Saccharomyces cerevisiae S288C: one gene and its partners. The gene in region 2 interacts genetically with the main gene of each other region. Each region holds a gene or a part of one and is shown on either strand. Other genes may lie near its edges.

Region 1 (8,104 bases), on a different chromosome or scaffold from region 2:
AGGGAGCTTTGCTCCATCACATCATCTGCTTCATCTAGGTCTAAACCACCTGCGGACGATGCACTACCACCTAATGGTGAATCGGAGTGGTATTCATCACTAACTTTCTTACCCAAAAGCATATACCACCATTTCGTAAATTTGTTAGCTCTATATGCCGTAACGACCTTACCATCTGAGTCAATAAAGTCCGTCCTTGATGATTGGATACAAAACATGTAAATTAAAGCCAGTATCACCAGAATCAGTGGTACACCAATACCAACCACACAACCAATGACGATGTTTCTATTTTTTTTAGAAAGACCCGAACTTTTGGATTTATTGCTTGAATCAGCGGTTGCTGATGGTGTGTACGTAACGGTAGTATAATGATTTGAGAGAATCGTCTTACCGTTAATAATACTGGTGATAGTGCTTCCTTGATTATAGGCAGTAGTGGATGGTGTGGAGGAGGTTGAAGGTGCAGAAGTGATTGTTGATGGGGATGATGAAGAGGACGGCGTTGACGACAGTGAGGATGAAGATGATGTTGACGTTTGCGTAGAAGACGTCGATGATTCAGAAGTTGCGGATGTCGAAGAGATGGAAAAGGATGAGGAGGATGAAGAATCTGAAGAAGCAGAGGAAGAGCTGCTGGTGCTTGAATCTGATGAGAAACTGAATGATGTGAACGATATGGAGGCAATGCTGGTAGACGAACTCGTATGTGACACGAGGGACCTACTTGATGTCGATGAAGTAAGGGAAGATGAGTCAGCACTTGAGGAAGAAACCATACTGGATGACAAAATGGAACTTGAAGAACTAACTCTACTTACGGAAGAACGTGCAGTAGATACTGCTGAAGAATTCGAAGATGATGATTGCACGAAAAATTGTGCGCGTATCGTCGATATGCATGACAGTATTAAAAGTAATAAGCGGAAACTATTCTTGGTTGTGAAAGACAACATACTATGATTTGCGTATTTTATATGTCCAATCTTCAACGAAAGTAGCGAAATAATGGTACTATTTGTTCAACGAGAGTAAAAATATAGTATGTCTTTGAGGCAGAGGCGTCTTCGTGAATCTAGAATGTGTTTAGGGATAGTTGTATTCTTTTCTAGCCTACCTAAAACGCAAAGTCAGCTTTAAATTATTTTTCAAATTCGCAATATAAATGTATACCTTCCTTATAAGACTTATAACGGAAAATATGAAGAATCAGAAAAAAATGGTCCACTGTACTCGTAACTTAATTTGAAAGCCTTGAATGGTGAGTTTGGTAAGTAAATGAAACTAGAAAATAATATGGGGATGATCTGAAACCAACTTGGTTATTGGAAAGTTGTGCTAAACCAAACACAGGAAAAAAGAGTGTAAAAACTGGGGTGATGTCTTTATGTTCTTTATGACTTTGTTAATTTGCAGATTATGAAAGCAAAACGGCAAAAATAACGGGTAAAGATTGATTCAAATCTGAAACAGCAAATTCATTTACCATCCCATCTAACGGTGCTCCTTCTGAATGGCCCAATGCAAACTCCTACAAAAAAATTGCCATTTTTTTGCACAGACCACGCCGCTCAGCCTCGAGAAACATTCCTCGCGGCATTTCCGTGAGATCTCTCAATTAATTTCTTTTTTTAGATTTTTTTCCGTTTTCCGTTTGAATAATTTCGCGTTTTCGTAGAGCGCGACGGCCTATAAATAGACAGATTTTGAATTTCCTTTTCGGGCTTTTAAGATTCACTCCCCAATTTTTAATAACGGACATTTCGTGCTTGGCGGCTACTGAGTACCCCTCTCAAGAAAATGAAGTGATCGCCAAAGCAGTTATCATATTTGTAACTAGTTATACATGCTTACATATACACAGATATATAAAAAATAGATTATATTTGCTGAGGGATTCTCAGTCGAAAAAATAAACGTGCGTCGTGGAACTCATTGAAGGCATCCATTAATCATTTCTTTTTCCCTTTCTTCTTATTCTTCTTATTCTTCTTCTTATTACTGTTGCTGTTGCCAGTATTTTTTTTAGCTTCTTTAGTGGACAAAACGTCATCTGTATTTACTTCGGCTTCCGTTGTCTCTTGTTCTTCCGTGACGGCACTGCTTTCAAGAGAAGCAGAGGCCTCAGTTTTTTGGTGGGTAGTACTCTCACCAGAGGCAGCCTCCTTGGAAACGTTGTTGATATCGTCTTCTGCCTCTGAACCTTTTTCTTCTGGTTTTACATCTTCATTGGATGGCTCGACTGCAACACTTTCGGTAGCATCTTTAGGTTCGGCTTCAAGTTCTATATCTTCTTCTTGATGTCTTGGAGAGGCAATGTCGGTAGTAAACTCGTTGGTTTCTTGTACGGGTTCACCGGCATCCTCCACAGGTTCACTGGTATCTTCCACAGGTTCATTGGCATCCTCCACAGGTTTGTTGGAATCCTCCACAGGTTTGTTGGAATCCTCCACAGGTTTGTTGGAATCCTCCACAGGTTTGTTGGAATCCTTCACAGGTTTGTTGGAATCCTCCACAGGTTCATTGGAATCCTCCGCAGGTTCATTGGCATCTTCTATAGACTCATTTACTTCTGGAGTTTCAATTTCAGCTTCTGGACGTCCAAATTCCATTGCTGCATCATCTGCAGGTTCGTTATTTTCCCCTGCACTTTCTGTGGTTATGTTGTTTTCAGCTACTTCTTCAGTCTGTACAAATCCATTATCAGCTTGTTCGTTAGAATGTGTATCGGTATCCTCACTTTTCTGTCCCGTTGCTTCTTCATTTGGAGAACTTTCAGCCACAGCTTCATTCGGTTCTTCTACCACGGCTTCTGCGGAAGAGTCCGCTTTGTTTTCCTCTATATTGGGAGTACCAACAGGTTCGCTTTTCAAACTTCTTACGGAGGGGTTGACGGTTTCGATGGTGGTTTCATTCTCCAAAGCCGTCGAAGCATGCAATGGATCTTCTACAGGACTTACTGGGGCAGTTTCATGTCCACTCTTTTCTCCTTGTTCCTTAGCTTCTGAAGGATTACTCTCATTGTCATTAGGTGATGCAACCTGTTCGACATCTGTTGTGTCCTCGGGCATCTTATTTTCATCCGCTACTTCGGCTACCGGCTCATTCTCCTTTGAGTACGAAAGTTCTTCCTCATTAACTGGTGGGAATGTGTAGTTTTTCAGTATACTTTGATCTGCATCTAAGTAAAATCCTCTAACACCAACGATTCTTTTCTCAACCTCACAAGCTCTCACCCATTCCGGTCTGACAATTGGTATGTTGTTATGTTTTGCCCTTATAAGCTCTTCATTGCTTTCTTCATTGTCTAGATCGTTACAGACAAAATGCGTAGTATCTATCGCAACATGACGTTGTAAAGGTCTCGCCCCGATGTGAGACAAACATTGGGATATCTGTAAGTCTGAAATTTCTTTCAATGGATCCAATGGACCCAAACATACAGTGATACCAGACATGTCAGTCATCTTATGTGTACGCAATATAACCTTTTCAGACCATAATGTTCCTGACGTGGTTATCAGTTTCAATTGAAATTCGTATGGCGTATCAACGGAAAGACCGGATATTTTCGTGGTAGTCACTTTGAATGGATTTGGAATTACCATTGAACGTATTCCCTTCCTATAAAGGATCAGTGATTTCAATTTTGCTGAGCCAAGTTTCAATGGATCCCATGCTAGAACACAGCTCGTTTGCGTAACGTTAACAATTTTCAAAACTGGGCTCTCCGGTTTATGGGTACCATACTTCTCCAAAATTTTGGCTTGTATACTCTTAAAATGATTCCTTTGTTTTTTTTCCTCCTCTAAATTTTGTGAAACTTGCATTTTTATGATAGATCCAGCTTTAACATTTTCTGGTAATAATACTGTAGGAAACTCAATAACATGATGATCCTGAGTAGTCAGTAACGCCAATGAGGCATCCAACTTACCTACTGTTAACAGTACATCAACTGAAGACATTATTCGCTACTCGACCAGGTTCTAAAACGGAAACGTAACATGCAAGCTAAACCGCGATAACATTTAGCATCTACGCAATAAATAATGAGGCTTTAGAAAGGAGAACTTGAAGGGCCGACCGAACTTGTTAAAAAAGAAGTGCAGCTACATAATTTCCGTCTTAAGTGACATCTTTTTAGTGGTCGACTCGAGGCTACTGGAAGCAATAAGATAAGGATATGGCAATAGCTTATAAACGGTATCATATGAACATAAAGCGCATTGCATAACTATTGTTAACTAAAATTTTAATTGCCCAAAAGTATTTGATTAAATTATATTTTATGCATGCTACTTATTGTACGTTACAGCCGGTAAGGAAAAAATTTGAAAATTCTGAATTGGAGGACCTCTTCTTCGACACAGAATTTGATACGCGGTTGTTGAAGATTTGTCTTGGGCAATCATGTTAAGCATTATTGGAAGAAGTACTGAATTGCTCGTTAGGGCGTAGGATATCGGAGCGAGCGAACTTTGTTGCCACTTCAATCGGAGCCTTGAAATCATGGAGAAGACCATCGGGTATTCAAATTCCAATTGAGACACTATTAAAGAGGAAAAATATTCATTAAAATGAGGAATAACCTGGCTTATTTCGACATAGTTTCCCTCTTTAGAAAAAAAATTGACAGTTGTTGATAACTCGGAAAGGTAATAGATTTCAGGATATCCTTTGGCATGCGTATGAAGCTCTCTGGGTTTGCTTATGAACGTACTTATCTGAGCATCCGTTAAAATTGTACATTTTAAACTGAGAATGACGTGGTTTTCTATGGTGCTTACATCTTGAACTTGATAAAACAGTTGTTCCTCCCAAAAGCGAATACTTGAACCTACAATCTCGCGCAATTTTGTAAACAACTCTTGCTCTTCCGTAACTAATCGATCGTTCATTTTAAAATTCAGTTTAATCTTCACTTTTCCTGGTACGAGTGACAAAGCTACCAGTTATTATAGTTAGTAACGCTTCATTCACGGATGGGTTTTAATTTTGCTAGGAGAAACATACTTTCAACATTCCAGGTGGTAGCAGTGGAATATATAATGAATTAGAGTCGGTTGATTCCGGTCCCTCAATGCGTACGGTTGAAGTCCAAGCAGATAACAATTTTCCTGCCTCATCATTATTTACAGCGCCACAACTTTCTAAAAATACGGTCAAAAATGTGATATCTCTTGCCATTAGATTAAATTTTGAAATGTTGGAATCCAATGGTGAACTAACGTGCTGTTGCGCTTATTTCTTACTGTTTGTTTTCCTTCCATTTTTTATATTTGGTATAACCGCTGAAGGTTATAGAAATTAGCTCTTTAAGAGAAAAAGGCGAAAAAATTAGTGTAAAAGTGAATTATACTACAGAAAAAAAAACTATACTAAAACACAGATAGGTAAGTCATATGTCACATTTCTACTCGCTTGTACCCTCCAATTAATTCCTGTAGGGGAAAATTGGAAATTGTAAAGAGAAAGATGAAAGAAAGAACGAAGCAATTCCGGACGGCAAATCATTCTTTGTTTCCAAGAACTTGCTTAACAGGTTCGGTTTGGTCCACATATAGTCTATGTTCTTGGATATACCTGATGACCGAATTAGGTAACAAATATTGTACAGACATGGCGCGTCTGATAAATAGACGAACTTTCGTGGAAGAAATATCATTATAGATGAGTTGCTTGATGATAAGAATATTCCTTCTATGTTCATACATAATATCATGGGATAACAAAAAAGACCTTACATCAGAACCAGTACGTTCGACAATCAAACAACCGTAATTACCGAGAATGTGATGTAAATCGGCGTCCGCCCAAACGTTTGGTTCACCCATTGACTCTATTAGGTCACCACCAGCCAGCAACATTATTTTCACACCAATTTTTTCTCCAGTAACAGTAGCTACACCACCTCTCTTAATATTGATTTCGTGATTGAAATGATCCAAGACCTTGGCAGTTCTTGTGTATGAAGGTTGCAATGACTCCCATGCATCCACCATCAACCAAGATGAGGTTCTTTCGCAGGCCAATTCACACATACGTACTCTATGGTAGGATGGGGCCAAGCCTTGCTTTTGATAGTTATCACTAACAGGGGAGTAATATCCACCTATGACTTCAAACCTTGTTTGTTCAGAGATTGCATCTAAAGCCATTTCAAACATTCTTAGATGCAAGTAGGTGATTGGTGAAAAAGACCCACATGCTACTATTACTAACGGCAGTTTATTTGGATCCAGTAATTTTTTCGATAATCTGTGTGAGGGGAATTCGTAGTCTTCCAAGGTTCTTGCTTGACGAACGATTCCATGTGGAACTTCTTCTAAATCAGCAATCTGATATTTCTGAACACCTCTAGTTTCTGATTCTGTGGTTGAATCTGAACCGTATCTCTCCTTGGATCTAAAATCCGCGTCATCATCTTCGGAAGACACTTCTGCGGAAAGTGGTTGAAAGTCGTCTTGGTTCAATGGAATATGCTGATGTTTTTTATCATTGCCTTCTTTACGACTGTGATGATGGTGATGATGATGCTTAGGATGCTTTTTCTTCCTCTTAATATTAAAAGGTGCATCTATAGAGGAATTCGCATCGGCTAAGACGTATGGAATAATTGGAATAGATTTGGGAATTTTAGATTCCGGGTCGGGTGGAGGAATCAATTCCTCGTCTGCAGATGGCGGTTTGAAATCCGGAGCTCTTGTGGGATCCATGTTTCCTTTTTTTTTTTCTATCCCTGGTATAAGTAATTGACGCAACAGTTTTTTTTTCCCTTCCAAATTTTTCTAATTTGTTATACCATGCAGATACAATAAATGTTGATGAAATTCTAAATTAGGTGAAGAAATTCCTTTCTGCAAAAAATGAAATGAATTACTGACTCTATTAACTATGAGAAAGCGTACCTACAGAAAAAACAACGGTATCCCATTGTGAAATGGGGGGAAACTAAAAAGATATGGATAGCGAATCTTCGAGCAATAAAGTTCGTAAATCTTTGTAGGTGTTCTATCCTACGTAAGCGGATGCAGCGCAATTCCAGCCGTCTTCATCGTCATTTTTCACCCGGTAGAGGCAAAAACAGCGAGTGCTAAAAAAAAAACCGGATTTTTTTACGCCGAATGCGGGAATTTTTATCCGCTTTTGTCATGGAGTAAAGAAATTAAAAAAAGCGTCACAGACAGGATTCGAACCTGCGCAGGTAAAACCCAATGCCTAATTGCTTTTCTGAGGAAATAGCAGGCATCGCCTTAACCACTCGGCCACTGGGACGGTTGAACAACGATCTAAAAATGAATCGTTATATTGTCCAAATTTTGTGTCACATCAAATGCCCATTTGCGCATTCCTATATCCTCGAGGGAGAACTTCTAGTATATTTTGTACCCCTAATATTAACACCGAATCGACAATGAAATAAACGGAATAGCGCAATTTCTGCAAATTTTTACAGTTCATCAACAAGATACATATCTTTCATGACAGCTCCTAAAACGACTCTCATGAATGGTAGTACACCTCACGAAAAAGCGTACCAAAACCGCACACAATAAACGGACTCGAACTGTTATGATCTCGTATTTTCTTGTGCCCCGGGTCTTACTTCGTCGTGAGGGTGGATGAGCCATCACAATGGGCATTTAGCGTTTTGGTGCAAGAGCGGGAAGAGGGGCGGCAGTTGGTTGCAATACCAAAAGCAAGTGACTCACTACGGTCCGATATTATCTTGCCCTTTCCATTCTCATACGTATGTTTTTTTAGATTATGCACCTTCTTTGCCACAGTAAATGTGGCGGGGAAGATGTTGAGCTAGCGCCGTGCACAGTGGAAGAGACGGAGGCGATTGTGGGGTTTCATCGGATTGTGCGGGAAGAAGGCCTACACCGTGTTGAGCCACCCCCCCCTCAGGAGTAAATTTACACAAACAGTGGTGGTGCCTATGGTGGTATACGAGATAGTGATAGAAGCTGCTGGATTGGGGTAGAAATTTTGTAGGCGTTTATGGATATGGTATGGATATGGTATGGCTTGAGGTAGGTAATCCAGACACCACTGGAAATATATATAAGGAGAGAGTTCTGGCAGGTAGATTTGTACT
Region 2 (8,540 bases):
TATCTCAGAGTCCGCTTCAATCCCGAAACATTAAATTTAAGTGATGAGAAACGTAGAAGTCTCTCCGAAAAGATTAATAATCAAAAATTAATTGAAATCATTACATCCAGTTCATCTCATGATTGGGAACTTTACAACGGATTATGGATATATCTTTTGAAAAATTTGATCAATTGTACTAATGATGATAGAGTAGAAGTTAAAAACGGTGCTGTGCAGACTTTTTTCAGAATCATCGACTCCCATTCTGTTTGCTTCCCCCCATGGGACCTAATTTTCTTAGAGGTTATTGAACCACTGCTTACCAAGGAATGGTCCACTGAAGAACTCGAAAATGAAACTGATTTTATAAATGTAACATTGCAAGGATTAATTAAGCTTTATCCGGAACACTTTAAGGACTTCAAAAACAACACTACCTGCGCCAAGGAATGGTCAATGTTATTAGATTTTTTGAAAAGATTGTTGTCTTCCACTTCTAATAATACCAAGAATGCTGTAATATTAAATTATCAAACCCTGCTGAAAGAAATCATCACTATTGAGGACGTTCCATCAGATATATTGAAAAAGTGCTGCGAAATATTTACCGACTACAATATTACGTACAGTGATCTCTCCACAAACGCATCGAGCAAAACTGAATACGATTGTATATACGAACTAATAACCGGATTTCCTCCTCTTTACCAATTAATATCGAAATACGATGCGATGACAGATGAATTTGTGGAAAAAGTTCTTCTTTTATTCAATTCTGCCATAAAATATCCTCTCTTACCTGAGTTTGTCCAAGACAAAACTAAACCGTCCTCTATGCAAAAGGCCATATTGTCTGGACTTGATATATTTATGACAAATGATTCTAAAGATACAGAAATTTTGATTCTTCTCCAGTTAAGTACAATATCGATATTGGCTTTTGATACAAGGGAAAAAATAACAAAAAAACTTGGACCAAAGCTTCCAAAAGCATCACTTAACAGGTTACCAACTTTTGAGGCAATCAGCTATATGTCATGTTCTAACCTGAGAAATAGAATAGCAAAAATAGATCAATTTGGTATATCCACACTGAAAGCAAAGCATATTTTAAGAATATTGAAAAATTTGGCTGAAATCATCAAGCGAAAATCGCTTATTACAGGGTCAGAGAGTGATGAAATCCCCATATGGGTTCTTGCTTCCAATTGCTTCTGTGATTTGTCGAACAAAATTTTCAAATCACTCCAAGAAGATGCAGAAAATCCATTAAAGGATAACTTTTGTGATTTATTTATAAATGTTATTGTTGTCACATTACAAAGAATCAACCCAGAGCTCGATAATTTAACCGAGATAGACGATTTGAATGAGTATTCCAAATATAGGGAGATATTGCTGGAAAACAGAATCATTGATCTCTTCAATGAAAGGCAATTAGACACTTTCATTTATGCCGTCTGGGATTGTTCATTTTTATATGAATTCGATGAATTAGAAAATGCTTTGATGCAAGACTGTGGTACGTTTTCTGAATTGTCTCAAAAACTATCTTCGTTCGATTTTTCATGTATATTTGGATCCACCACAAATCCTCGCTTTCAGACAAAATATAAGTGCTCTTTAGAGTGCTTGCAAGATTTGGTTAATTTTATGTTGAACACAAACGAGAAATTAAGAAAGTTAACTGCTCCTTATCTTTCTGCAAGAATTGCCCTTGCTCTTAGAAGATATATCTCAGATGAATACTTGATTGGGCGAGCACCAATACCAAAATTGCGTAAAACAGAACTAGCTACTCTATTAAATGGGCTATGCGTGATTTTAAGAGGTGTTCTAGATCAAAATTCGACCCTTGGCAACAAACAAATTGGAGTTGAAAACCTACAAACATTAAGTCCGTTGATTTTAAGAACCATCCCAGTATCTCATAAAATGGATGGCCTCCAAGATAAAGTTTTGGAATTATCACTTGGATTTACGAAACTAGACTAGAAGCTGAAGCATGGACGAATATTTTTAAAAATCACGTAGGATAAATAGTAATATTAAACGACATTGGATTGATTATTGTATCGTTGCAGGTCTTTTTTTATTTACTTTAAAAAAAAAACTTTTAAGGTGAACGTATTTATATATTATGCCATTGGTATGCATAGCTAAAAGAAAAGAAATACATAAGATTGTAGTATGTATGATATGCTTATAGAAATAGTTGTGTGCTTCATTCCTTCCACTCCAACAGTGATGTCAAATCCTTTGGATCACATGCCATATTGAAAAAACCGTGGTGTAAAAGCTCTTCGGTTGATGCCCTATATCTAACATCTACGCAAAGGCAAACGCTTAGAAAGCGTTTAATTTCTAAAGACAAACTTTCTGGATGCTTGAGCTTTGGTGTACCATTAGTTGCAATTAAGTACAACGCCTTTAGTGGATCTTCATTTAAATATGGTGGTTCACCCTCCAGCATTTCAATGGTCATGATACCCAAAGACCATACGTCAATCTTTTCATCGTATTCACGTTGTTTGACAACTTCAGGTGCCATCCAGTAAGGTGTCCCAACCATAGTGGCTCTTTTGCTTCTTTTATCAGTTAATCTGGCGCAAAACCCAAAATCGGTAATTTTCACCCTAGCTCTAGTGTCCAGCAAGACATTATCTGATTTAATATCCCTATGAATGATATGCTTGTCGTGTAGAAATTTCAAGCCTTGGCAAGTTTCTCGTACGATATATGCAATTTGGGGTTCTGTTAGTGGTGAATGTGAATTATCGTTGGTGGGACTATTCTCGATAATGTCTGTTAGTGAACCTCCTTCCATAAACTCCATCACAACCCATAGGTCATCGTCTGTTCTCAAATAAGCCTCGAGAAAATTGACGATATTTTTATGACGTGAATCCTTCATAACCAAAATTTCATTCACTATGAGTTCTTTACGAGGTTGTTTAGATAAGACCATTTGCTTGATAGCAACTTTATCTCCTACGTGCGGCTCATCAATATCATTGTTTATGAGTTCGATCATATTACTTTCTGTCGGAATATGCGTCCTCTCTGCAAGGTAGACGGACCCACTTGCACCTTGACCGGCCTTCTCGATCACTTTAAAGCATTGAGATGGATCCGCATTTACGGTGACTTTCTTCAGCTTACTCATTATTTCTGCAGTTGACATGGTAGGCCTTGCTGGCTTCTTCGGTTTGGCCACACCACCCGGTTGTGCGACATCTGCATCCGGTCTCTTTGGGGCCTGCCTCATTGTTTGTGGGGTTGACTGGTCATTCTTAGGTGCAACAGGCTGTACATGTGTGTTACTAGTAGCATTTTGATTTGATGGGTATGGCGCCCTTGGAGCTGATATTGGTGGCTTTGGAGCTGTTCTTTGAGGTTGAAAGTGTGCGGCTGTAGGACTTGAGTTTTGTGCATAACGTGGAATTGCTTGGTTTTGGGTCGACTGTGAACTTAATGGCGATTGAGGTTGTTTGGAATAAGGATTTATCATATTGTGATGTGGCCTATAAGGGTTTAATGGAGACGGAGATGGGGATGGAGATGGAGATGGTCCTTGATGGTGGTATGGATATTGTTGATGCTGTTGTTTTTGTTGCTGCTGCTGCTGCTGCTGCTGCTGCAAAGATCGTTGAGAATTGTTTGGATGCATAGGTCCCCTAGGAAATTGGCCATTGGTTGGGGAGTGTCCGTTTCTCATCTTAGGATATTGTTGGTTGGGAACATTTTGTAAGTGTCTTGGAATATTTGACTGACTAGTGGGCAATTTTGTATTTATTGGTGGCAGTGAGCCGCTTCCTAGAGAAACAGGCGATTTGGTATTTGGTGGTTGTGAGGTTTTCCTCTGTGATACCATACTTGAAGAAACGCCTGAAGATGACTTTGAATTTACTGAATTATTTCTGAGTTTGTTATCATTATAGCTGTTTGGCAGCGATTTTTGAGAGGAGGAAGTTTCACCACTTTGAGGCTTGTCTAAAGTATTTGTGGGATTTCCGGCTCCATTATACTCTTGATAAAACTGCAACACTTGAATGACAGCCGCAGAATTATTGTTCCAATCTTCTCCTGTAATTCTGGAGTGCTTTAATAATTTTTCCCAGTTGGTGGGCATACCAACAAAACTACCTGTTTCTGGATCAAAACCAACGTGAACTTTATGTGTGAAGTTTGTTGGAGAAGATACACCACTTAATAATGGACATTTAGCAAAAATGGCGTCTAACCAACTATGCAAATCGCTTTCTGTCTTTGTAGCAATGTATATTGATTTTTTGGAGTTACTGTCTGATGATACATTCAAAGAGGACGAGGATCCTGATGATACAGAATTTCGGTCACTGCAGCGCACCAACTCAAAACAATATTGTTTCAACTGTGTCCTGCTTACACTTATAATACTAGTTAGTGGTATCTTCAAGATCGCATCGTCATTTTGTTTATCGTTCTTGTAAAGGGCTACATACGAATCGTGTAGCATCAGGTATCTCTTTTGCCATATAAATGAAAGTATACCGTCATCTTTGTAGGACACCCACCCGCTTTTTTTTTTGGAGGTACTTGTACCTAAATGGGACGCTGATGTTAAATCCAGTTGACTCATAAGTTTGGTTATAGGTTGCGTTTGATTATAGCAAGTACGGCCCTGGCTATTTGAACTGGGAGGTCTAGGTGCCGGTCCGATATTTTGGAAATCGTTGTCAGATATCTTATTCGCTGCAGCTGAAAGAGACATATTTTGCACTATTTCTTTTATGTTTCAGTTTCACTGTTCGATTTATTACACCAAAGAAACCACCAGGAATGAATGATAGCAAAAGATGCAATGGTTTTCAGTAGCGCAGTACGTTCGATCGAAATAAAGGACTTAAGGTTTTGATCTTATTAGCAGCAGAAGCAAATAACTGGCAACGCTAATACATGTACAAGGCTCAGGCTAGAAGGTTCTTTCAAATTATGTGTCTCGAATCAGACTCTCCTGCACGTTCCATACTATGTTTCTATCATGCCAGAGATGAAAAATTTCGTCATCTTACCGGCTCGAGAAAATTTCCATATCGGGAAACTATCCTTTTTTGGTGGCTCTATATTTCCGGAAAGGGAAAATACCCACGCGTTTGATATCATTAGCTTATTGTTTCACTTGGACATCGATGTGGTATTCTTGTATAAATAGTAAATAGTCTATAAGAGTCTATATTGTGTTAAAGAGCCTGGCCTTTAGAGAGCCAGTAGTCCCTTCTCGTTTGAGCATCTACTGTCTTAGTTTCCAGTGGTGATTTCTCATCTTGTCCCGAAGGGGTATCTCTTCCTTTTTGATCTTGATCGGATTCTTGATCATTCTCAGAAAGTCCCATCAAGTCATCTATGCTGAGGTTGTTTTGGTGTAGGAGAGAGCCCTGATCAGTTTTTTTCACTTTGCGTTTCAATTTGCTTCTGCTCACTCCAAAATCCGGAGGTGGAGATGGAATGGCACTCTTTTTGATTTCCCCTTCTCTCTTATCCTTTTTTGCCTTCTGTTTCTTCTTTGCAGGTTCGTCAAGTTTGTAGATCTCCTCTACTGGCAAGTCTTCGGTGTCGTTTATAAATAAATCTTCTTGAACTATCCTCGTGCGCCTCTTGTGGTAGCGCTCGTTTTCAATGATGGCTTTATTCTGCACTAAATCTCTTTCGTCGTTGAAATCTCTCTTTTGCCCACGGTATTTGATCACGTTTCCGAGTATACTTTTTCCAACGCGGTCTTTGAATGTAGCAGAATTCAATTCCCAGCATTTATTGACCAACAGTTCGAAGGCACCAGCAAAGGCCTTTTTTATATCCTTCATATTAAAGGAGCCTCTGCTTATATTATTGTTAGGATCACCAGGATCTTGAATAGCTAGCGAGAATTTACTCCTTGAAGGTTCCAAAGTTCTCCAACACGATTTAGGAATATAAGAGGCGTAACCATCAGATATGCTTATAGCAACGTCATCATAACCAAAATTTTTTCCGTAAAGTTCGAAGAAGTCAATCAGTAGAACACCCAGGTTATCTAGAACGTCGATATCGTTTGATTTTATTCGCGGATGCATATTTAAAAAAGAATAAACCAAACAGATTACTGTGAAACCTCCCAATCCTCCTGTGTGCACATTGTTCAATCGTCTTGAATGCAAAAATTGTTTTATTATCAGTACCAGTTCACGTAACCCTGGAGAGTCTCTTAGCCATTCCCTGATGAGTTTTGCAGCCTCTAACCCGTTCGTTCTTTCAAATGAAACGTCGATATGTAACTGTGATTGGGGCTCTATGAATTTGATAATAGGCACTCGCGTTTTAACAATAACCTCCATTCTTATAGCTAGCCCTTTGTTTTTCAAATGTCTCGCCAATTCATAAATGTAATTTCTGTCCTCTTTATCGCGATTCCGGCTGTTTACGACACAGTCAATGTCAGAACCCGGCAAATATAAATCGGTGGCAAAAGAACCAAACACATGCAAATCTGCATCCGACCACAGTTCCTTGACCGCCCGGCGTAGTTTATCGATCGTTCTATTTCTGCACTTGATTTCGTTCTTGCTTGGAGAGATATAATGAACGAAATCTTTGATTTCTGAAGTTAGCCAATCTGCTATTCTCCTTTGTTTCGAATGACAATGATTTCTTATCCAAGGATACTCCACATTGCAAGCGCTTTCAGTGTTCAGAGATTGCTGTGAAGTAAGCTTAGAAACTTCATGTTCATCGGTCAACAGAAAACTGCTTCTTTCATCATCATCTTCCTTTATTTGTTCTGTTTCATCTTCAGAGCTGTCCGAAAAAGCAATAAAATCTTGATTATCTTCGAGAGAATTGTTTCTTTTGCTAGATTCTGCCCTTTGTTCATCTTCACTTGATGTGACTTCTTCTATTACAGGTATGTCGACATCACTTTTATCATTTTCCATTAAGACTAGGTTTCCGAAAGTGTCATCGTCTTCAACGTCGATAGCGAGGCTCTCGTACTTGTTAAAATGCGAGCGATTATCGTTAAATACTTCAAGCATTTTTTGCGTTCTTGTGAAGGATGATTTACGCATACGTTTTGTATGTTTATCTTCTTTTCTTTTACCTTTTGTAGGTGAATATTTTGCTTTGAGCCTTGTCATGACGACCCAATAAACTCCGCCCTCGTTTGTTTATTTGAAAAATAAAAAATGATACGCTAGTGAAACGAACCAGCTTAACCTTGTGAACTGTTATTACAGATGTTTGCTTTCATCAAGTATCGCTTTATTACCTTTTTACAACTTTTTTTTTTTTAACTGCGATGAGATGAGATGCCTGGAAATTTGCGGGGGGTAACCACAAGAAAATAAATGTAACATATCGTTGAATTAGTATGTAGTTATGAGTTTATACAATGGTCTAGTAAGGTGCCTTCTGCGTCCTTATCGAAAGGAACTTTAGGAGAATGAAGCAGACGTTCCTTTATTAAGTATGACCAAGGAGTCCTTGCTTCGAAGCTAGCGAATCTGGTAACTGAGGGAAAATACATATCATGTAGATAAAAAAATGTGAAATTAATGAAATGAAGCGGAATATCCTTCCTAGTTTAAGTTGTCCATGCAACTTATAACAAAGCAAAGGCAGCAGCACCCATGATGGCACCCATACCCGCAACGGAGCCTTTAACGGCAGCGCCGACGTATGTGCTGATCTCATGGGTGGTGGTGTTAGCTTGGCTACTGATAGATTTAGTGGATAGAGTGGCAATGGTACTTGTAGTGTATGGAGTGGAAGTAGTTTTCACGGTGGAGACCATAGATGTAGTACTTTGTGGGGTGGTGGTAACATCTACGTAAGTGACACCATCAGAGGTGGAATCTGCGGAAGCAAATGCGGCAATGGCAGCAACGGTGGAGAGAGTAGAGAATTTCATTGTATTTTGATATTGATATTAAAGGAAGGTAAAAAGTTGGTTTAAAATTAGCCGAAGGCAGGGATAAGGAAGGAATGCAGTTGGTTTTCTATGGACTACTCTTTTAAATGATATATGTACCAATAAAGATGGAGTAGGCGTAATAACAAAGTTTCAAGGCCATATATAGCGCCTTATATATACACATGCATGTATTTATCACGAATTTTATTTTCCTCGAGAATCACCACCGTTCATTACAAGACTATACCAGAAGACGCCAAAATCAGACAGAATTGATCTGGCGGTGCCTTATTCGGAAGTACAAGATCAGTATCAATGTAGTGACTCTGCTACATTTCGTGTCAGGATCTTCACCTTTTGGCGACTGCTAATGGCTATATATACCGTCATTTTCGCGTCACTTCTTTGTGCTTCCTGCTTTTTCGTGACGCGCGGTTTTGAAAACATAGACAAGTTTTTGGCGTCGTTGTTAATTTCGAAGAGGATGTCCAATATTTTTTTTAAGGAATAAGGATACTTCAAGACTAGATTCCCCCCTGCATTCCCATCAGAACCGTAAACCTTGGCGCTTTCCTTGGGAAGTATTCAAGAAGTGCCTTGTCCGGTTTCTGTGGCTCACAAACCAGCGCGC
Region 3 (8,177 bases), on a different chromosome or scaffold from region 2:
GCCTTGTACAAGAAGCGTGACGAATTATACAGTCAAATCAGACAGATCAGAGCTGACTTTGACAACGAATTCAAATCATTCAGAGCCAAATTGGACAAAGAACGTTTGAAACGTGAAGAAGAACAAAGATTATCCAAACTTTTGGAACAGAAAGATGTTGATATGGGTAAATTGCAAGAAAAGTTGACTCATGCCAAGATTCCAGCCTTCACTTATGAAATCGGTGCCATTGAGAATTCTTTGCTTGTCCTGGACCCAACTTATGTGAAACCAAAGAAAAACATCCTGCCTGACTTGAGTAGCAATGCTTTGGAGACCAAGCCTGCCAGAAAAGTTGTTGCTGATGATTTGGTTTTGGTCACTCCAAAGAAGGATGATTTTGTCAATGTTGCTCCATCTAAATCTAAGAAATACAAGAAGAAGAACCAACAGAAGAACACTGAAAATGAGCAACCTGCTTCTATTTTCAACAAAGTCGATGGCAAGTTTACTTTAGAACCAACACTAATTGCTACTTTGGCCGAATTAGACGTAACTGTCCCAATCAACAGTGATGATGTCAAGATCACCGTTGAGCAATTGAAGAAGAAGCATGAAGAGCTTTTGTCGAAACAAGAAGAGCAAACAAAACAAAACATTGAATCTGTCGAAAAGGAAATTGAGAAATTAAATTTGGACTACTCTAACAAAGAGCAACAAGTAAAAAAGGAATTGGAAGAAAAAAGATTGAAAGAACAGGAAGAGTCTGAAAAAGATAAAGAAAATTAAACCTGAAGTAGAAAAAAATTTTTCTCCTGATCTTTCTTCATTACTTAATTTTTCTTTGGTTGAGGTGATGTTTTTTTCTGTACTTAGTATTCACTACGTTAAAAAAACACATGGTCTTATTTTCCAAAATGCCTATTCCCTATATATCTTTGCCTATATGTATATAGTATTAATAGCTTAGATTGTTTCTGCTTTCTAAAAAAATAAAAATTGAATCACATACTACACCAGTCTGAATACATCTACCAACGTACACATTCATATATTTCTACATAATAAATTGCAGATTTACGTCAATAGGGTGTGACGATGATAATTGTGGTTTTTGAGAATACTTACCAGCCAATTCTTTCCTCATGTTCTGTAAAAGAGATAAATATGATTGCTGTGGTTGTAAAGTCATAACCTTGATGAAGGCGTGGGACATTGCACCTGTATTTTGCCCATCTTCGACAGCATCTGCAGAAGTTTGATTATCCTTCGAACCTGATAACATAACAACATCTGCTGCTGAGAATTTGATCTGTCTCACGCGTTCTCTATCCACATTATTGCCCATACCTCCCTTAACGGTCTTGAATATAGAACCTAAAGAACCAATCAAAGCAGCCCTGTTTCCTGTGGCATATGAAATAGCTGCTTGCAGGCCATCTTGGCCAACATCCTTCCAAATATTGGGCTCCTTAATAATACCCTTAGTAGAATAGGTATATGGAAGATCCAACACTGTACCCGAATGACAAGAGTCAAACAATGCTGTTAGTCTAACACCTTGTTGTAAGGGCTTCACCATTATATCGTGCATTTCATCGTCGATAATTGGCCCTTGAGTTTCGAAATCGACCGGATATATAACATCATCCATCCCATCTTCTTCGTCCCCATCCAAATCTTCAGTTTGGCCACCATGTCCAGAATAATGAAGGAACAAAGAATCATTGGGTTGCGCATCCTTGACCAACCATTGCATGGCCCTAATCATATTAGCCCTAGTGGGAACCCTGACCAAATCGTTCTGATCATCAGTTAATATGACAATGTCATCTGAACTGTAACCGTACCCATTAGTCAAAAAGTTGAAGATGTTATGAGCATCATTGATACAACCACGCAGTTGATTTTTTGAACCTATGTAGTTTATACCGATAATCAAAGCCTTTCTACGCCCAGTACATTGAGAATACTGATAAGGTTGGTCTGTACCTTGAATAGTTTGTGTTTGAGGTGGAGGTAATGACATATTCTGGGGTGGACCGTACATATTGGATGCGTTTACATTAGGATTGTTGTAGCCGTTGCTTAATTGTGCCTTTGCCTGTTCCTGCTGGAATTGAGGGGGGGGATACACAGGCCTGTTATAAGCCATAGGGGGAGGACCTGGTGGTGGAGCATATTGCTGACTGAATTGCTGATCATTTTGTTGCCCATATTGCTGTCCATACTGCTGTTCATATTGCTGACCATATTGCTGTCCATACTGCTGGTTAGGTGGAGGAGCCATGGGCCGTTGGTAGCCATTATTACCACCAGCGTTGTTGTAGGTGTAACGTCCACTACCTGGATACATGATTGTAAATCTAGTCGGTCTTCTTTGGTGGTAGTTTAGATAAACTTCGAGGCTCATCTTCATATTTTTGGCTCCTATTAATGCGAAGCCATGCTTTTTCAATAGTTGTTATTACCCGGACGCTTTTCTCGAAGCAGTTATTTGAAAAGCACTTGTAGTAATCAAATATATGTATATGACTCGATGGGCATTAAGTATCCAGTTTTGTCAGTTATGTGGATTTTAAGGAGAACTGTTAAGCCACAATAATGTATAGACGATCTGTTGGAGTACTATTTGTTGGGAGAAATACAAGATGGATTTCGTCCACTATTAGGTGTGGAACGAGCGCAACTCGGCCAATAAGATCCAATGCATTGAATACTGATTCAGATAACGCTAGCGTTAGGGTACCAGTTGGAAATTCAACTGAGGTTGAAAATGCAACCAGTCAGTTAACAGGGACTTCGGGAAAAAGACGCAAGGGGAACAGAAAAAGAATTACAGAGTTCAAAGATGCTCTTAATTTGGGTCCATCTTTTGCAGATTTTGTTTCAGGTAAAGCTTCGAAAATGATCTTGGACCCTCTGGAGAAGGCAAGGCAAAATACAGAGGAAGCTAAAAAACTACCTCGTTGGCTTAAGGTTCCTATTCCTAAGGGTACCAATTACCATAAATTGAAAGGCGACGTAAAAGAATTAGGCCTGAGTACTGTTTGTGAGGAGGCAAGATGTCCCAATATTGGTGAATGTTGGGGAGGCAAAGATAAATCTAAGGCAACGGCAACAATTATGCTGCTTGGTGATACTTGCACTCGTGGATGTAGGTTTTGTTCTGTGAAGACCAATAGAACGCCTAGTAAGCCGGACCCAATGGAGCCCGAAAATACTGCCGAAGCTATCAAAAGATGGGGGTTGGGTTATGTTGTTTTAACTACCGTTGATAGGGACGATTTAGTCGATGGTGGTGCTAATCACCTGGCCGAGACGGTTCGCAAAATCAAACAGAAGGCACCAAATACTCTTGTAGAGACTCTTTCTGGTGATTTCAGAGGTGATTTGAAGATGGTGGACATTATGGCACAATGTGGGCTTGATGTTTACGCACATAATTTGGAAACAGTTGAATCACTAACACCACATGTCAGAGACAGAAGAGCTACTTATAGACAGTCTTTGAGTGTTTTAGAAAGGGCAAAAGCTACGGTTCCGTCACTGATTACTAAAACATCAATAATGCTGGGTCTAGGAGAAACTGATGAGCAAATTACTCAAACTTTGAAGGATTTGCGCAATATTCAATGTGATGTTGTTACATTTGGTCAATATATGAGGCCAACCAAGAGACATATGAAAGTCGTAGAATATGTGAAACCCGAAAAGTTTGACTACTGGAAAGAGAGAGCTTTAGAGATGGGATTCTTGTATTGTGCATCTGGACCCCTAGTAAGATCGTCATATAAGGCTGGTGAAGCATTTATTGAGAACGTTTTGAAGAAAAGAAACATGAAATAATGCACACTGAAATCTAATAGTTGGAAGAAAACAATTATGGCATGGACCGCAATGTCTTTGCTTGCTGGATTATTTATTTATATCTTGTATTTTATTTATTTTTATGGTTAGTATGTTTTTGCATATTTATTTTTAACACAGAAAAGTTAGGAAACAATATCAAATATTCGATACGAATTTGTATATTTACGGTATATCCTTAATATTTTATTCTCATGACATATTAAGGGAAAAGATAAAATGCAAAAGAAAAAAATGCGTTTATTTTTTTTCATTTTCTAACAACTTGAGTAACTCCTGCTTTTCTTCTCTTTCTGAAGACAGCTGCTTGTTCAATTGCTCGATTTCTTCTGACAGAGTTTTATTTTCTAAATTTAATTGATCAAACTTATTTTGGTACTTGTTTTCATAGCCTTTTTTCAACAGTTTGACCTTTTGTTCGTGTTTGGATGAATACTGGATATACAAATCTTCTGCTAATAACTTTAGCCTTTTATTTGTATCTTTTTCTTTGGCCTCATACTTTTCTTTCCAATCTTGTACTTGTTTTCCTAATGATTTAATTTTTTCATCATCTCTATCCTTTTGATCATTGCTTAAAGTAACGCTATTATTGTTATTATTATTTTGTTCCATTAATACTTCATTTTCTTTTGTTAATGTTGTTATCCTGTCGGATGAAATCTTCAATTCATTTTGAAGAGAAATAAGGTTTTCATGAAGATTTTCCAATTCTTTGATGTGCTCAGCCTGAATGTTACTATTTTTTAGTTGTAAGCTTTCTAATTCTAGCGAAGTTTTTTCGAATTTTTGTTTCTCCAGTTCACACTCATTTTCTAGTTTATGAACTTTGTTTTCTAGTTCCGTAATTGTTTCTTCCAAATGCAATTTTGATTCCTTTAGATCTTCAATATCTCCGTTCAACTCTGTAACTTCGGCATTGCGTATCTTAGCTTCGTCTTCGACAGTTTCGTATTTACTTTGCCACATCTTAAATTCATCATCTTTTGAAGTGATCTGTTTTTTTAGCTCGTCCATTTCACTATTCAATGAATCAATTTCAGCTTCTTTTAGTTTTAGCGTCTCCTCATTTTTAATTAATTTATCCTGTACTACCTTCAAATTATCGTCGTTCAGGTTATTCAAATCATCCATTTTTTGTTGCAAGTTGTTTTTTGTAGATATTAGCTCATTAATTTGTCCTATAAGGTCAGAGTCGTTGAAGTCCTTAGAAATCGATAAAGTTTCCTTCAAACTCAATTTTAAATTATCTAGTTCGTTCTCTTTAGATTTCAAAACAATATCTGTGCTTTCAATCTTATCATTCAGTTGCACAATGCGAGAATTCAAGTCATTTAACGTGGTCTCATATTCGGATAATTTATCATTATTGCCTTTCAATTCTGCTTTCATATTTTCCAGTTCTACATTTTTATCATTTAAAATTTTCTCATTTTGCTGCAAAGTGTTGACAGTATTTTCATGTTCGCCCTTTATATGATTTACTTCAGTAATTGAGGCATCGAATTTTTCTTGTAATATTTTTTGGTTGGAATTCAATACCTTAATTTCTGTATTCAACTCCTTAATCCTCTTTTTGAATTTTTCCACCTTGGCAATATCGCTCTCTCTTTCTGTATTTAGTTTATCTAACTTTTCATTTGTCAAATCTATTAGTAGTTGGTGATTTTTGTTCAATTTCTCGTATTGAAAAGACAATGATTCATTTTTGGAAATCAAAGAGTTTAACATTTGATTTAAGTGATATATCTGATCAGTGAGCTCCTCGTTTCTTTTTGCTACAATCTGAAAATTGTCATGTCTAATATCAAGTTGGTTGTCATCATCGTAGTCATTCCTCCCCTCTTCATTTGAGTTCGACTCCCTTGCAGAAGTCTCATACAAAGGAGTAAGCCTGTTTATATGAGAATTTGTTATATCATTTTCTTCGTCCTCCTTTTCCTTATAAGCATTGTCAATATTAACCACATTGTTACTGTTAGATTTTATGAAGTCTTCCTCTTGTTGTTTCTCATTTATATCATTTTCTAATTTAAGTGTGTCGGTATTGATATTGAAACTATCGTTTCTTTCAACTCCGTCGTTTATTATGAATTTATTTGGGCTTATGTTGGTCTCAATCATATCAATCGCCATTGGAGACGACATAATTTCTTCTTTGTCATTAATGATATCTTTAGTAGAGCTTTGTTTCAAATCAGGTACTGATTCTAACTGCAATTTCAATTTTTTATTAATATGGCTACCTTCTTTATCATTTTCATCTACGTCCACGTTTTTGTCGCTTCGTTTCTCTGAGGAGTTCATTTCAACTCTGATCGGTGAATAATTCAATGCAAGGACATGCTTATCACTAGTACTTGCGCCTCCTTTATCATCATTGGTACCTGAATCTGATTTTTTGTCATCAAACATTTTATTTATGTCTATATTCTCTAATGGATTGGCATTATTCTTGTTGTTAAGAGCTGATGACCTACCGTAATCAATCGAGCGGTCTAAATCCTGCTTCTCATCTTTCTCCTTCTCGAGCGGTTCATGAGGATGTATCACGAACTGGGAGGAACCAGGAGAGTTAAAGCTGGAATCCGGTTCGGAATTAAACGTGCGTGGGTTACGTTCTTGCGAACAGTTTTCTGAATTCTGCTCGCGTTGCTGAGCTTGCCCTAAAATAAGCCTAACTGGAGTGGTAGGAACTTCGTTCATGAATTACGATATGTGCTCAAAACCTTTTTTAACTGGGTGCCCCTTGACACCAATGATGCTCTTTTTAGTTAGTGTCCTTCAAATGAACCATTAAAGAGGAACTCATCGTACACTCTGAATTATAAATAAATAAATAAAGAATATAAATTAACGCGAAAAAAAGCTTCGTCAAGTATGATGTGAGACAGTTGAAGAAAAGATGAAGAAGCCAAATAACAAGGTGGATAAAGCCATACGGCATATTATCGGGGGCAAGCTCAAAGAAGAAAAGCGATAGTATCACACAAATCAAGGCCATACACAAGGGACATCGTTGGATATCATGTCGAATGCAGAGGCCAGCAGAGTGTACGAGATTATCGTAGAGTCTGTGGTAAATGAAGTAAGAGAGGACTTTGAAAATGCGGGTATCGATGAACAAACTTTACAAGACCTAAAAAATATTTGGCAAAAAAAGCTCACAGAGACGAAGGTAACTACTTTTTCATGGGACAATCAGTTCAATGAAGGAAATATCAATGGTGTACAGAACGACTTAAATTTCAATCTTGCTACCCCCGGCGTAAATTCTAGCGAGTTCAATATTAAGGAGGAGAATACCGGTAATGAAGGTCTAATTTTGCCAAATATCAATTCCAACAACAACATACCGCACTCTGGAGAGACCAATATTAATACGAATACGGTAGAAGCAACTAATAATTCAGGTGCTACCTTGAACACAAATACTAGTGGTAATACAAATGCGGACGTAACTAGCCAGCCTAAAATTGAAGTAAAACCGGAAATAGAACTTACTATTAATAATGCCAATATAACTACCGTCGAAAACATAGATGATGAAAGTGAGAAGAAAGACGACGAGGAAAAGGAGGAGGACGTGGAAAAAACCCGCAAGGAAAAGGAGCAGATAGAACAAGTAAAATTACAAGCGAAGAAGGAAAAAAGAAGTGCATTATTAGATACGGATGAGGTCGGTTCAGAACTAGATGATTCCGACGATGACTATCTAATTTCGGAGGGTGAAGAGGATGGGCCAGATGAGAACTTAATGCTGTGCTTATATGATAAAGTCACAAGAACAAAGGCGAGATGGAAATGTAGTCTGAAAGATGGTGTGGTGACCATCAATAGAAATGACTACACATTCCAAAAAGCTCAAGTGGAAGCGGAGTGGGTATAACTAAATCTTTAGACGTAAAGAAGAAAAAATGTATATATACAAGTACTATAATATCAAACTAAAAAAACGAAATAAAGAGGGATGCAACGAACTTGGTCATCTGTTGTCAAACAGCGCTTGTATGTTCATTAGCCGAAGTGACTTTGGCTCGGTTCCATAGCTTAAGGAGTTCAGTAACACCGGAACCTACTGAAATTATTTCGTAAGCTAGCTCTGAGTTATATTTGTCCCTTTTACCTTTAATATTAATTAGATTAGACAATAAGTTTAGTATTATCTTATAAAAATCCAATGTAATATTATTTTTCCGTAACTCCAAATTGACTTTGTCATTGGTAGGTAGTTTGTACTTTAACTCGTATTCCTTTATTGCATTACCACTGGTATTATAGATACTTAAATAAATTTCATCTCTTATTAGCTGTCGCCATTGTTCAAT
Region 4 (6,840 bases), on a different chromosome or scaffold from region 2:
GAGCATGAATTTTGTGCATTTCACGCTCTGTAGGGTCAGTGGCAGGCAAATGACCAAAGACAATAATTAGGTCGATTTCCTCCTCTCTGTTTGTCTCAACCATATTTTGGAACCAGCTTTTTTGAGTTATTTCTTCCAATGGTGGTGTTACGATGGCTCTGTTATTTGCTCTTTGAAAACTAAACAAAAATGATAATGCCAGGACTCTTTGTTTCATTATGGGAGTCTCGAATGTAATGTATTTATTCCCGAAAGGAACCCTTGTTCCGTCATCTTCAATAAATTCTACGTTGCTGCAAACATATTTGTCTTTGAATTTTGAGGACTGAGAAGTTCCTCTATACTCTAGTATGGCACTTTCAGCTGTATATAGCTCATGATTACCTAACGTTAAAAGATCGTAATCCATCATGTTGAATATCTCCGAGCTTCGTAGGCCGGGGGGCCAAGTAGCATCACTCAAACCATTACCGTCTCGTTTGTCGCCAGTGTCGATGACTATTACGTCTCTGGACTGTCGTAAAATTTTTTCTCTAAGTATATCTACAAATGCAACGAAATCTCCCCAGTCAGCATCATAGTCGTTTTGTGATAGATGGGACCCCAACCAGCCATGAGTATCGGTTGTATGGATAAAATTTATATCCCCTATATGGATATCTCTTAATGGTACATCCTGCGACGGCGCTAAAACTGCCTGTTGTTGTTGATACGGCTTTGCAAAGATTAATCCTGTAAGAGCAACTAAACAGTGTACAAGCTTTAGTATCATTTTACACTGTTGCGCACACCTTTATTGCATTCACTCTCTTTGTTATTGCTGTAGTTCTTGTTGACGGCTTGAGGGGAAATAAGCTTATCGGCTTTTGCAATTGGCGGCTAGTTGGCGAAAGAGCGACTGATCGATAAGGACACTAAAGTAAAAAATAATATTAAAGATATACTGTAGAAATGTTTCATTATGGTTGTAATAATAATTTTACGTCATGCAATGGTTCAGATAGAAAGTTCGAGTTTGCTCTGGAACACAATTGTTTGTTTTCCTGCTTTCAAGTTAGTGCCATCTACTCTCTAACTACGGACGCCTTTACCGAAACCTATCTAGACAAATGTGTCTTTCTTGGAATAATATGAGCGTATATATGATAACGTTCGGGTGAACCTAATGCCTTGGTTCCTTACTCTATTTTGATCACTTCCTTTTTCGTTCGTTTATACATTTTGTTTCTTTTTACCAATATTCAACTTCTGAACACATAGATTTTAATTAAGATACAATTTGGCGAACTTAATTTGCAAACGATTTTACATGTAAGAAATTGTTGTACTGAAATCTTGATGTTAAAAAGTGTATGACTTTTACAACCTTTAGCAAGTATAATGGTTTGTGAAAAGAACCGTAAAATATAATCGTCATCTTAATAAGTTGCTAATGAATGATCACTGAAATTTCTACAGCAACAAAATTTATAACTCAAGTACAGTCGTGTTTTGCTTTCACTACGATCAATAGTATTATTATTACCGATGATTCCACTGTTAGTGTTATTATATTCAAGAGTGTACACTTCTCGCTAAGTAATGAAGAAATTTGCACATCTCATGTGTACACTCATTATACAAGATCACTTTCAACAAGCATTGAGTCACTAGAAAATTACAAATTATTTTCCCAGGAGGTGTAAAATGGCATATGTTTCTGCTGTCCTTGAAAAAAGTATGGAATAACCAGAAGCTTTGATAGAAAACGCCGAGGATAATACTCTGTGTAAAGCTCTAACCTTCATTCATTTTGTCACATTATCCACCTACTTGAATTCTAATTTAGAATACGAGTCGAAATAGTCTCGAAGAATAACTCACAACCTTTTTCCTATTATCTGTATGCTATACATGCCGCTGATTTTTCATTTTTTTCACTTTTAAGAGTAGAAAAAAGAAACGAAGTGTACATAATTAACTAAAGCCACTTGAAACAAATAATCAAAAAGTTCAAAACACCGATTGTTAAGAAAGATGTCGCCTTTGAGAAAGACGGTTCCTGAATTTTTGGCACACTTAAAATCACTGCCAATTTCAAAAATTGCAAGCAACGATGTGTTAACAATATGTGTTGGTAACGAGTCAGCAGATATGGACTCAATTGCTAGTGCAATCACTTATTCGTACTGCCAATACATATATAATGAAGGTACTTACTCGGAGGAGAAAAAGAAAGGAAGCTTTATTGTCCCAATTATCGACATTCCTAGAGAAGACCTCAGTTTAAGAAGAGACGTAATGTATGTCCTAGAAAAACTGAAAATTAAGGAGGAGGAATTATTCTTCATTGAAGATTTAAAGAGCTTGAAGCAAAATGTCTCCCAGGGTACTGAATTAAACTCTTACTTGGTAGATAATAACGATACACCAAAGAATTTGAAAAATTATATAGATAACGTCGTTGGCATTATAGACCACCATTTTGACTTGCAAAAACATTTGGATGCTGAACCTCGGATTGTAAAAGTGTCCGGCAGTTGCTCATCGCTGGTTTTTAACTACTGGTATGAAAAATTGCAAGGTGACCGTGAAGTGGTGATGAACATTGCACCACTTTTGATGGGGGCCATCTTAATAGACACTTCAAATATGAGGCGCAAAGTCGAGGAAAGTGATAAATTAGCTATCGAGAGATGCCAAGCTGTTCTTAGTGGTGCGGTTAATGAAGTGTCTGCGCAAGGTTTAGAGGACAGCAGTGAGTTTTATAAAGAGATAAAATCAAGAAAGAACGATATTAAAGGATTTTCGGTAAGCGATATTCTAAAGAAGGACTACAAACAATTCAATTTCCAAGGAAAGGGACACAAAGGGTTAGAGATTGGTCTTTCATCAATAGTAAAAAGAATGTCTTGGCTATTCAATGAACACGGTGGTGAAGCAGATTTCGTCAACCAATGCAGAAGATTTCAGGCGGAGAGGGGGCTCGATGTATTGGTTCTGTTGACTTCATGGAGGAAAGCTGGTGATTCACACAGAGAATTGGTCATATTGGGAGACTCTAACGTGGTACGTGAACTCATTGAAAGGGTTAGCGACAAGCTCCAACTTCAATTATTTGGGGGCAATCTTGATGGAGGTGTGGCGATGTTTAAGCAACTGAACGTCGAGGCCACCAGAAAGCAAGTCGTCCCCTATTTAGAGGAAGCGTACTCAAACCTGGAAGAGTGAAGGGAGATGTTATATATGCTTTATTTGGTTTATATATGACCCATATAGATATTTTTGTACACTACTATTTGTCTTGGTGTTGTTCAGGCTGTTCAGACTGCTCAGGCTGATCTTGTTGTTGTTGCTGCTGTCTTAACCTTTCCTGTCTTTGCTGCTCTTCTTCCATAGACAGACGCAAGGCCATTGCCAGTTCTGGGTCCATTGATGGGTCTACCCCGAAGTCCATAAATGTGCCATTGGCATCGGAATCACCGCCAGACCCACCAAAGGCGCCCATACCGGAGGATCCTTCTTCGAGAATTATGGGTGAAGATGCGATGTTCTCGTACAGCAGTCTGGGGCCAGGCGTCACAGTAAGCAAATGACTAGTTTCTTCTTGAGGGTTGTTCACTGCAGCTATGAACTCATCCAAAAGCTCCGTGTTCTGTTCAATCTCTCCAAAATTGATGATGTCCACGGCAACATTATTCTTTTTCAGTGTTTTTGCCAATCTGATCAATTCGTCTCGAGAATCACTTATTGGGCTACACACAAATGCCACAATCCTTTGATGTTGGACCTTATTCTGGCGATGCTTCAAAGTCAGCTGAGCGATCTGCAACGCAGTGGCCATATGCAGCTTACCCTCGATCTGCGTGTCGTGTAGTCCAGCAAGAATCTTCCCAAACTCGGCGGTAAACGTAGATAACACCCTGGGGTTGGCGCCAGCACCAGAGATAAGACCCACTGTATTCTCAGGATTGCTGTTTCTCTTGGCTTGAAATATGAACTCTACCGAGTCGATCTGGGCTTCAAACCTTGTCCTAGGAAAGTCGCCATTGCGAGAGTACTCTGAATTATCAATCACTAACACTGTAGCTTCCAATACCATTGTGCGGTTACTGCTGAGTTATTTATTGACTTTTCCCTTCTTTCTTTACGCTTTAAAAGTCTGATATAAGTGTGTATTTAGTTGTAAATTCCGGTGGCGAAAACCCGCCTGGCGGAAATAACCCGGCAGCTATAATGCCATATAACTTCAAGAGAATACAATTGTAAACAAGAAGTGGCAACAACATCAGCAAAAGGGCAGCTGCCGCACTCGGTTACGATGATACCGGCTCTCACTCCCGAAGAACGGCAGAAGTTGCGCAGCGCAATACTACATCGAATGCAGCTGGAACGTATGTCACCTCACCGCAACACTCTACCCCCAACCTTCACCCGCACTAATTACTAACACAACCTCAGTGGAAACAACAGAAAAACTGATCGAAAATATTAAAGAGGAGACGTTAAAGAAACTAAATCTGCTCCAGCAGCCTGATGCAACATCAGCGCCTCAATCAAAGGAACTAATCAGAGAGGTGCTTGAACAGGAAGGACGCCGTATAGAATGATTAGTTCGTATAATGGACCCTTTCTCGGTATTCGCAATGATGCACCTATTACTAATCAGCGGCCGATTTGTTGGTATTAAAGCAGCGTGTGGTTACATCCCCTTGTTGAATACATGTCTACTTAGCAGAAGGCCAGGTATATGGAAACATGCGTTTAATCAGTAAAGTTTTGGTGAAAACAAATTGCCTAGAGGTAGGTATGAGGAGGGCCCCACAATGGTATTCTCACTACTCTACTACAGCGGGCAATGCTCGTGTGAACAAGAAGGGCAGCAAAGTAGTGCCTGTGTTAACAGGGTTAGCACTGGCATCCATATTCGCGAAGAAATGGTATGACGATTCCCAGATCAAAAAGGCGGATGCCACCAGCGTTGCAGTGGACGCATCCATCTCTGCGTTCCCTAAGAAGATGGGCCCCCCACAGTGGCCCTTCTCCACGCAATATGAGCTGATTGGTAAGGGTGTACGTTGTGTCTCATCGATCACTTTCAAAGCATATGGTCTGGGCATATATGTGGCCGCTGAAGACAAACATCTGGTCTCTGAAGTACTGGACTCAAAGTTCCTGTCTCAGGCGTTCATCGACACTGCGGCACCCCCATCACCGGAAAACTCACATCAGGATAATTTGCGTGCGGCTTTGAACGATCCTGCTAAGGCCCCTATCCTGATTAATAACCTCTTAGACAGCGGAATCAGACTAATGTCCAAGAATACTCCGATAAAAGCAGGTTCCTTCAAGTTATTGATGGACGGCACCAAAAAGAGCGTCCTAAAGAACCCAGATTCTCAGTCTCAAGACAAAGACCGGCTGGAAGCTGGATTCCAAGAATTGCATGACTGTTTCAGGAGCGTAAAAGGACTTGTGGCTCGAGATGATGATTTTTTCATTGAGCTGAATAAGGACTGCTCTATGAATTTGTCTTACTACGCAAGAAAGAAGGATGAATTTGTGATATTGGGCACAGTGAAGGAACCCCTTATTGGAAAGCTCTTATTTGCCCACTACCTAGCTGCTGTGGATCCTCCTTCTCCGGAGGCTAGGAAGGAAGTAATCGATGCACTCGTCTCTCTATCTTAGGACACTTTCGCCGACTTCTACATACAATTACATAATACATACGCTGTTCCAAAAGCTGCACATATACTCTAATGATGTTTTTTTGAGTTTCCTTTCGACTCAATTTTTCTAGGAGGGACCCCTCAAAATGTTTACAATGCTATTCGGTTTTGACAAGAAAAAATCAATTCAAAACTCTTACGGCGTTACAACCGCGATAGAATCCCTTCATGGACAGAGGAAGGTGCGCCAATATGCTAAAATCACTCCAGCGAACACTAGCTAAATGTCAGAAATCTCCATCAACCAACCATTGGCAATGTTTCAAAAGAAATTTTACTAGTATACGAGCCACTAAATACCCTGGGCGTTCTAATTCGACGTTCCACTATTGGCCCTGGTTTGCGGCGTCAACATTGCTCGCTACTTCGTTATACTACCGTGATCGTCCGGTACAAAATGACGATAAAACTGATGCTTTTCCTTCTCATACTGAATCGATACAGGTAGACTCTAGCGTATCAGATTTCCCACTAACGATTACTGCTTTAAATTTCCCTGTCTCTACAACTTTTAAATTACTGGGATATGGTCAAAGGCACGTCACGTTTTTGAGGTTCAAGGTCTATGCCTTGGGTCTTTATCTAGCTGAAAATGACGAAAACCTTGTTTCAGACACTCTAAATGAAACTTATTTACATAAATATTTCCTTGATGTGGATGATTCTAAGACTCCTAAGGAGAATCTAGCTAGATTATTGAAACGTGATGACTCAAAATCCGTTATGATGATTGATGACTTACTGGATTCTGGAATGAGAATGCTAGCCAAGATAACTCCCGTAAGGAATACAGATTTTAAGCATCTTAAGGAGGGCCTGGTCAAAACTATTTCTAAACATCCCGATGTGGCCAATAATAAAGACACACTGGCGAAGGGCCTAAGTGAGTTAAATGATGCCTTTTCACGTAAGGGATCCGTCAGGAAAAATGACGATTTGATCATCGAATTATTAGCCAACGGCGCTTTACAATTTTCATATCATGACAGTAAAAACAACGAATTTGAGGTCATGGGAGTAGTTAATAATCAACTCGTCGGAAAATTCTTATTTAGCCAATATTTATGTGGCGAAAAATCTCCTTCTCCACAAGCCAAAAAAACAGCTATCGACAAATTGATCACACTCC

What was found.
Region 1: mutations in CLA4 (region 2) and CHS5 together harm fitness more than expected from each alone (negative genetic interaction), as found in Saccharomyces cerevisiae (7 studies listed by BioGRID, with this or other methods).
Region 3: mutations in CLA4 (region 2) and SLK19 are lethal when combined (synthetic lethality), as found in Saccharomyces cerevisiae (8 studies listed by BioGRID, with this or other methods).
Region 4: mutations in CLA4 (region 2) and RPN10 together harm fitness more than expected from each alone (negative genetic interaction), as found in Saccharomyces cerevisiae (7 studies listed by BioGRID, with this or other methods).

Annotation. Positions count from the first base shown.
Region 1 is NC_001144.5:783,528-791,631, reverse strand, and holds CHS5 (Chs5p), read right to left. Parts: upstream 3,969-8,104; coding exon 1,953-3,968; downstream 1-1,952. Other genes in the region: MID2 (Mid2p), read right to left, coding at 1-956; JIP3 (Jip3p), read left to right, coding at 586-963; REC102 (Rec102p), read right to left, coding at 4,299-4,919, 5,017-5,190; nicotinamide-nucleotide adenylyltransferase NMA1, read right to left, coding at 5,514-6,719. UniProt on the Saccharomyces cerevisiae protein: Component of the CHS5/6 complex which mediates export of specific cargo proteins, including chitin synthase CHS3. Also involved in targeting FUS1 to sites of polarized growth.
Region 2 is NC_001146.8:65,110-73,649, reverse strand, and holds CLA4 (serine/threonine protein kinase CLA4), read right to left. Parts: upstream 4,736-8,540; coding exon 2,207-4,735; downstream 1-2,206. Other genes in the region: MON2 (Mon2p), read left to right, coding at 1-1,977; non-canonical poly(A) polymerase TRF5, read right to left, coding at 5,205-7,133; TOS6 (Tos6p), read right to left, coding at 7,598-7,906. UniProt on the Saccharomyces cerevisiae protein: Involved in budding and cytokinesis.
Region 3 is NC_001147.6:711,244-719,420, reverse strand, and holds SLK19 (Slk19p), read right to left. Parts: upstream 6,556-8,177; coding exon 4,090-6,555; downstream 1-4,089. Other genes in the region: BFR1 (Bfr1p), read left to right, coding at 1-768; Ca(2+)-dependent cysteine protease MCA1, read right to left, coding at 1,037-2,335; LIP5 (lipoate synthase), read left to right, coding at 2,584-3,828; TOA1 (transcription initiation factor IIA large subunit), read left to right, coding at 6,878-7,738; PEX27 (Pex27p), read right to left, coding at 7,845-8,177. UniProt on the Saccharomyces cerevisiae protein: Has a role in spindle assembly and stability. Required to ensure a timely exit form mitosis. Essential to maintain pre-anaphase spindle polarity. Associates to the plus ends of the microtubules at the kinetochore and spindle midzone.
Region 4 is NC_001140.6:496,320-503,159, reverse strand, and holds RPN10 (proteasome regulatory particle base subunit RPN10), read right to left. Parts: upstream 4,082-6,840; coding exon 3,275-4,081; downstream 1-3,274. Other genes in the region: SMN1 (Smn1p), read right to left, coding at 1-772; PPX1 (exopolyphosphatase), read left to right, coding at 2,017-3,210; NBL1 (borealin), read left to right, coding at 4,301-4,373, 4,441-4,589; AIM46 (Aim46p), read left to right, coding at 4,738-5,670; AIM18 (Aim18p), read left to right, coding at 5,880-6,840. UniProt on the Saccharomyces cerevisiae protein: Multiubiquitin binding protein.